Linked DNA regions of Tribolium castaneum. The protein of the gene in region 1 purifies or fractionates together with the protein of each later gene. This does not show direct contact. Links are inferred from orthologs where the notes say so. Each region holds a gene or a part of one and is shown on either strand. Other genes may lie near its edges. The genes, in order: retinoblastoma-like protein 1 and Dp.

What was found.
Region 2: the proteins of retinoblastoma-like protein 1 (region 1) and Dp purify together in Drosophila melanogaster (affinity purification with western blotting; 4 studies listed by BioGRID, with this or other methods). This does not show direct contact. The link is inferred for Tribolium castaneum from reciprocal best matches to the Drosophila melanogaster genes Rbf and Dp.

The regions. Positions count from the first base shown.
Region 1 is NC_087396.1:19,756,557-19,760,480, forward strand, and holds the start of retinoblastoma-like protein 1, read left to right. Parts: upstream 1-1,242; 5' UTR 1,243-1,660; coding exon 1,661-1,795; intron 1,796-1,841; coding exon 1,842-1,975; intron 1,976-2,025; coding exon 2,026-2,241; intron 2,242-2,294; coding exon 2,295-2,773; intron 2,774-2,885; coding exon 2,886-2,939; intron 2,940-2,991; coding exon 2,992-3,029; intron 3,030-3,074; coding exon 3,075-3,244; intron 3,245-3,294; coding exon 3,295-3,484; intron 3,485-3,535; coding exon 3,536-3,739; intron 3,740-3,924. Other genes in the region: WD repeat-containing protein 64, read left to right, coding at 31-222, 281-621, 676-832, 883-1,116.
Region 2 is NC_087398.1:7,912,179-7,915,609, reverse strand, and holds the end of Dp (transcription factor Dp-1), read right to left. Parts: exon of another isoform or gene 3,423-3,431; intron 2,947-3,422; coding exon 2,874-2,946; intron 2,825-2,873; coding exon 2,754-2,824; intron 2,704-2,753; coding exon 2,534-2,703; intron 2,479-2,533; coding exon 2,313-2,478; intron 2,262-2,312; coding exon 1,903-2,261; intron 1,857-1,902; coding exon 1,774-1,856; intron 1,725-1,773; coding exon 1,641-1,724; intron 1,597-1,640; coding exon 1,385-1,596; 3' UTR 727-1,384; downstream 1-726. Other genes in the region: Myeov2 (uncharacterized protein LOC100302525), read left to right, coding at 115-176, 232-325, 378-450, 603-640. UniProt on the Drosophila melanogaster protein: Component of the DREAM complex, a multiprotein complex that can both act as a transcription activator or repressor depending on the context. In follicle cells, the complex plays a central role in the site-specific DNA replication at the chorion loci.

The DNA.
Region 1 (3,924 bases):
AGTTGTCATATTTATTTATTAAACCGCTAGGGTTGTAACTGTTTTGCATTAAGCAGAATACGTAAGATACTAGCCACAGGAAGCGAAAATTCTGTTCTGAGATTGTGGAACCCTATTATTACCTCAAAACCAATCGCAATTTTGAAAGGACATCAAGCACCGATTATGGACGTTAAAATATTGGATAAACTAAATTTACTTATTAGTTGTTCAGCTGATGCAGTATATTTTTCTATTTTGCATTTAATTCTATTTACTAATTTTTGTATAATTGTTGTAGATGTTTAAATTATGGGATTTGGAAAAACAAAAGTGCATTCAAAGTTTTTCTATCAGTTTCCCGTCTTTTAAAGTGTTTGGAAAATTAATTGAATGGGGAATTGAATGCATTTATCCCGGCCCTAAACGCACTTCCTTTAATGAGATTGAGATCGAACTTTTTGAAAGATCACCACTGTTAATCACTTGTTGCAATCACATCGCTGTTATTAAAATAGTAAATCAGAGCAACGAAATACAGAAAATTGTTGAATCGCAAGTTTTGCCTCCACCTCCTCTACAAAATAGTGTTTTGATTCCAAAAATGTGGAGAACGTCTGATAGTCCCGAAACAATAAATAAGTATGATTTTTTTTCTAAACCTCGTTTTTTATTAAATTGTTAACGCTATTACAGAGAAGAACAGTTTGAAGAAGCAATTGATGACAAATTTCTCAAAGAAAAAATAAAAGAGTTGGAATTTATTCTAAAAAAAGACCTGTTTGCAAATGATGGCTCAAGTAAGAGCGATATCAATTTCAAAATTGCGACATTAGAGCGAAAAAAAGTGCAGGCATGTATAGCAATGAATTGATTTTATTTATGTCAACAAATAATATTTAGATGCGAGAAAACGTTGCACGCGGTGCTCCCTATTTAGCCCTGGAGCTACCCGAAGTGAGCGACCTATACCTAACACCAAACTTGCCCGTCCCTGACAAAAAGAAAACGAAAAATATTGTGGAAAAAATCGAGAAAGTTTTACAAGACGCCAGTTACAAGGACTTGGTATTTTCGGAACCCTCCTCCAGCCGCTCGCCACGGTCCTCACGAAGCAGTGTTATTGAATTTGACTAGTATCACTGTAATAAAAATTTTTGTAATAAAAATTAAAATTCATCTTGCGCGCGTCCCCAAGCCAGCAGGTGAAGCTTCCACTAATGCGAAACTTCCCTAAACGGTGTTTGTGTTTGGCGCTAAGAATTGGCGGGAAAGCCCATTTCTCTCCCCTTTTCGTGCCCACAGCAGCTGTATTGGCACATAGTGTCCTAATTAATTAAAGTGTGGCTAAAAACTTGCAAAGTGCTTCGATTATAAAGTTACTGGTAACTTTCCAAATTTGGGTTTGAGGTTACCCTCCATGCGCAGTCAAAAGTAGTTCTGGCTGATCGACAAAAAACTGTGTACGTATTCGCGCGTAAACGCCGAAATATTTTGGATTTTAGCGGCATTTCCTCGTCGAAAATAATGTGCAAAGCGGGAAAGTCGGGGTTTGAGCGTGATTGTGTTGTTTTTTAGTCGTCTCTTGTGTGGATTCCCGCCTTTTGTAGGCGTTGTCAAGAGCTCAATGGTGGCTAGTGGTGCGAAATTGTTTAGCAGCGGTTTGTAATTGTTGGAAATCATGGTGTTATCAAGCGAAACCGAAGAATTGGAGGAGAAACACTCAGAACTGTGCAACAAACTGCACCTGAGCCAACAGATTTCCAGAGACGCTTGGGAGCGATTTGAGACAATTAACAAGAATTTCACTCTGGAGGTGAGTCTCAACCCCTTAAATCACTGCAAACTATCGGGATTTTCAGGGGGAGCCCCTCCACTGGATAGGGTGTGCAATATACGTGTCGTGTTGGAAGTCCATCGCTGCAACGGCTGCACAAAATAGTGTTCACACGAATTGTGTTAACTTGACCAATCTTCTGCGTCATTGTAACTTAAGGTCAGCCAACAACAAACAGTCTTTGGGTTATTTTTAACGCATGGTTACAGCATAGCACAGTTCTTTTACAAAATCAAACAATGGTCGGACATGGCCAGCATGCCTGAGGAGTTCAAAAAGCGGATTGAGTATCTGGAAGGGAGCTTCTCTGTGGCTTACAACGTTTTTAAAGAATACCAGCCTCTCTTTATGCAAATATTTAAGGCACCTAAAGCTCCAGAAGCGCACGAACTGGACACAAGTAAACACAGAAACCGGAAAAATAAGTAAGAAGTCTCTCTAAACCAATTTATTTCAACTACGAAATTGTATATTTTAGACCTGTGCCTTCGTCCCCACTCAAAGTCTTCGAGTTTTGTTGGACCTTGTTTATCACAATAAAAAGTGAAGACACGAATTATAACAACGACTTGGTCACGTCGTGTCATTTACTTATTGCCATTTGCGACTGGGCGTTCAAACATGCGCTCCAAGCCGACCGCAAGGATCTCCTAAACCCCGACTTTGCGGGCCTGCCTGAAGACTTCGCCCAGCCCAGCTATGTGCCCCCTTCGGAGGCCCCTTGCATCGTCAGCTTACTGTGCCCCAGTCCGAACATAATCACCGACCTGAAGTACGTAAAAGAGTACCAGTTCAAAAAATCGATTCGGAATTATCTCGACCAAGGCGTCTTGATTGAGAACGACCAAGGCGATGTCTTGGACACCTCGGTGTTTGACCATAATTACAAAAGCATTGGGAACGTGTACGAGAAAAATATCCTGAATAAGAGCGATTTTGACGAGCGCATTTTCCTGGGTGAGTGATTTTACAGCTAGTCCAATCATATGGCGAGCCAGCTGCGCAAACAGCTGACTGTCTTACCTGAACAGATGCTCCTGACCTTGCCCTAACACCTGTTTCATTCCAGCTGAGTACAAAAGAAAACTTCTAGTGAGAGACCAGAGTGTGGCGCAAAATGCAGGTAATTTGAATCGAGAAATCTATGATCAAACAATTGAATTTTGCAATTTCAGCTGACAACGCAAGTCCGGAGTTATCGACCAAAGAAATGGTATTTTATTTTTGTGTGTGGTATTTTTTTTACGTTTGTTAATAGGTTGTTAGTAAAGAGTGTTTGACGCCGCTCACTGGCCGCAAATATTTGGGCCCGAAGGAGTCGCAAGAGTCGACTCCGCTTGTGACAGCTACTGAAAGCATTTCAAGGCTTAATAACTTGCTTCATGGGCGCCAGCCGGCCCCCAGTGAGGCTTTAGTGCAATTGTTTGAGTAATTATGACGCCCAGAGTGGTTGAACGTGTCTATGATGATGTTTTAAGGTCTTGTGCTCGCAATCCAACTGAGAGAATCAATCAAATTGTTACAAATTTGGGGGAGAGGTTTCTGGAAGGCCACCCAGTTGACCAAAGAGAAGTAGCACAAAGGCGACTGCAGCTCGCGACAACTTTGTTTTATAAATTTATTGAAAGTATTCTGCAGAATGAGCGCTCAATACATGCTGATTTATCGGTATGTTTTTTAATTATTATTTGTTCTGTAGTATTTTTATTGTTTTTTTAGGCCATTGTGGAAAAAGACGTATTTTACGAATGTATGTTTGCTTGTTGTTTAGAAATTGTTATTTATTCATACAATAGTCGGCAAAGGTTCCCCTGGATATTGAAAGCACTGCAAATACAACCATATAATTTTGTTAAAGTGATTGAACTTATCATTCGCTCAAGAGATAAGCTTTCAAGGGACACTATCAAACACCTTAATATGGTAAGAACATTACAGTCGGGATGTTTTTTTGATTTGAGATTTCGTGAAACTGTGCAAAAAATCATAAAATTTTCTCAAAAATAGACCAAAATATGTTTCAATATACTCTCCACCTCTAAATAAAATTAGTTCGTCAAATTAAAAAAAAGCGGAAATTATGAAATTAGTTCAAAAATAGTGTAATT
Region 2 (3,431 bases), on another chromosome or scaffold:
TTACACACAACAATATATAAACCGGCTTGTATTGTTTGTTCTTATTTTTTAGCATCACCAATTAAAAAAATGTTTGATTCGGTTATTCTTGTAGTAGACTATTACGTTCAATAAATGATATATTCGGCAAGCAAAAGCACTGACAGTAGGTCTAATGTTTTTGTGTACGTTCGAAGGTAAGGTTATGTAGTTGATTAAATTATTTTCTCTTTTTTTTTCATAAATAAACAGATTTGAAGAAGGAATAGATAGTACAATGAAACCTGCAATTGTTGCGGATGAGATGTTTCCAGAAGGTGCAGGTCCATATATGGATCTAGAGGAGGTATTAGGATTCTTTGTGGCTCAGTTGGAAACACATTATTTTGTTATTTTAGGCTGGAGGTTCCAGTGGATTACTAATGGACCTTGCTGCGAACGAAAAAGCAGTCCACGCTGATTTTTTTAATGGTAAGAATATAGAGATCAAATGCTAAATGAATTGTTAGTCTTTCAAACTTTGTGCTGTTTCTGAAATCGGATTTTTGTATTTAAACATTGATACAACCTATGGGATTTTTCGGGCACTTTCAGAAAACACTCAGCTACGTTTTGTTTTTCAGATTTTGAGGACCTCTATGATGATGAAGACCTCAACTGAGCTTTGATTATGTTCTTTGGTTCTGACGTTGCTAACTTGGTCTAGATGTAAAATTTTGGGTTAATAGATGTGAAAGGAAAAGCGTATTAATTTAAATGATTTATTTTTTACAAACTGGAGTCTATTGTAAAGTCAAGAAAAACTTAGTTTTATAATTAACAACTAAAATTAAGTTTTATAAATAACAATAAAAAAGGAGTATATAAAAGATTTAATCTTATTATATACAAAAGAAACCTAAACAGCTTTCCGCTCCTGTACTTATTTACAAACCGTCAAAAGAATAAAGAATTACTCAACTTCGAAGCAATCTAAACTTTTAATCTTTTTTTGGAATACTCTAATCAAAAAATATTGGTCCACTACAAAAATCTGACCATTCCTTTTAAACACATTTAAATTACAAGCACTTGTTATCACAGGTGCAAATTTATTTGCAAACAAAGAGAAGAATTTATACAACATAAAGTATATTTTGTATATACATGTATTAAAGAAAATGTTGAAAAAAGTTAATCACTAAACTAATATTAATGTACAAAAACGTACCTGTATAATCGTTGGGTTGGACAAAAGCTACCCACATTGCCACAACCCCCGACAAACACTCCCGCCTTTTGTCCAACGCAATTAAAATCGACGAATAAAATTTAGTACTTAACAATAATGTACATAAAATAATGAAATACGATCGTCTCTTACTGCAATCACATGGACAGACATTGAGACACTGTAGAATAAACACTAGTTCAATTCAATGTCACTGGACATGTCCGAATCCCCCTCGTCGTCGCTGAAGTCGGGGGCACCTGGAGAGAGGGGATCGCTGGAGGACTGGTGCGAGTTCTCCTCGTCCAGAGTTGTCTCGACGAAGTCTTCAGTCAACATACTGCTTGTACCAGGGGCCTCCACGTCCAATAAAGCTTCAGTTTCGTCAGCAGCCCCAAACGCCAATTCTGAAAAACAAGGTGAGGTTTTATAACAAAAGGGACATACGTACGATCTACGTAGCTTTCGAGCGACTTTGGGACCATCTTTTTGATCCGTTCCAAATTTTCGGGGGTGCATTTCCCACTCTCGAGTCCTACAATCAACAATAAGACACGTTTCCCTCACGAAAAGTAGTAACATACCCATCAACATCCCAATTGATTTCAAGACTTCCACGTCGTCTTTAATCTCGAATTTGTCGTTGAATTTAAACACGTATTCTTTCCTGCAAAACACGCTTACTAATTGGATAATTAAACTAAGACACTTACTTGTCGTTTGAGATGCTGCAGTCGATCTCAGTCTTTTTATTTGTGCTTATGATAAGAAAAGGCAACTGAATGTATGAACTCGGGGCTGGTGGTCCGTTGATTTCTTCCATTTCTCTGTTCCTCTGAGCTAAGTTCTTAAACGAAATTTGGTTCAAAATCAATTCTTGCAACTGCTTCTTCTTCTCCCTGATCGAGGCGATTTTTTTAAGCTTCTCCCGCTCCAACTGCATGCACTCTTGGAGCGAATTTGTCGGTAACCCAATCCACCTGATTTCTTTCTTTTCTTTGGAAATTATGTTCATGGCCATTAGTACGTTTAAGGCATCGTAAACTCTTCGTCTGATATTTTTTTGGTCATACTGCAAAATTCTCGTTACAACACAACTCTGGTTTCCAACTATGACTAGTACCTGATCCGCCAATGAGTTATTGCTGGATGCGCTCGTGAATTCCCCTACTAACTCATCTGCCACTTCATTGTACGTCGTTTTGCCTTTTTTCCTCACCTTTTCGCAAACTTTCATCGAGAAGTGGCGCAGGCCTTTGCCGACCTTTTCCGACTTTCTGCTTCGTTTTCTAACACAAAGCATAAAGAGAAAAAAATAATAAAAAAAAAAAACAGTAAACTTACGAATCGTGTACGAAATCTAGCTCAATCGGATCGGCCCTTTTTCTTTGCAGAATCGGCGGCGAATTGTTCTTGTTTTGGACTGTGTGTGTTTGTTGTACAATTGGTATTGCCGTTGCATTTTGGCTAAGTTGCAGTTTCTGGTTATTTTGCGTAACAAATTTTATACTTTGCTAAAAATATCAACTTGTTACAAATGCTCGCAAGACATTTAACTCTCTACCATTTGAGTCGGCGTTAAACGAAATGTTTTCGTTCCTTTCGGGATTCCACTGACCTGAAGCGTGCTACCTTCTAAAAAATTTAATAAAAATCGGTGAACCGCAAACTCTAATTAGCTTACTTGTTGTTACGAATTTTGGAGTCGTTGCTATTGTTCTTATGATTTGTTGCGACGAACCTGTAGTGCCATACACCTACAGGGAGAAGCAGTGTTTTAAACGTGTACATATTTTAATGGATAAACAATTAGGTGATGAAAGTGGGCGTCGATGTAGGAGGGTATAATAACAAAGCGATAATTGCAAGGAAGAGTGTGACGTTGGATTAAATTAAAAATATTGTAAACTGGATTAAAGGTGTGACAATCATCACGCGATCGTGTCCTTGGGAAGCCACAAATGACTTCTTCGAATTTTTTTGACACGATCTCTATCAGGATATTTTGTTGCTATTTCAACACAAAACCAATCAAATACCTAAAGCCTTATTTATAATTTCGCTCCGGTTTGTGGCAATTTGTGTTGTGGTGAGATTAAATACAACACATTTGTTATCTACATTAATCGTGGGTTGGCTTTATCTGTAAAAGCTTGAAAGCAATCAAGAAAATATTGCCAGTCTATCCACGAAAATACTTATTTACACTTTATGCGTTCGGCTTAAAAACAGACATGAACAC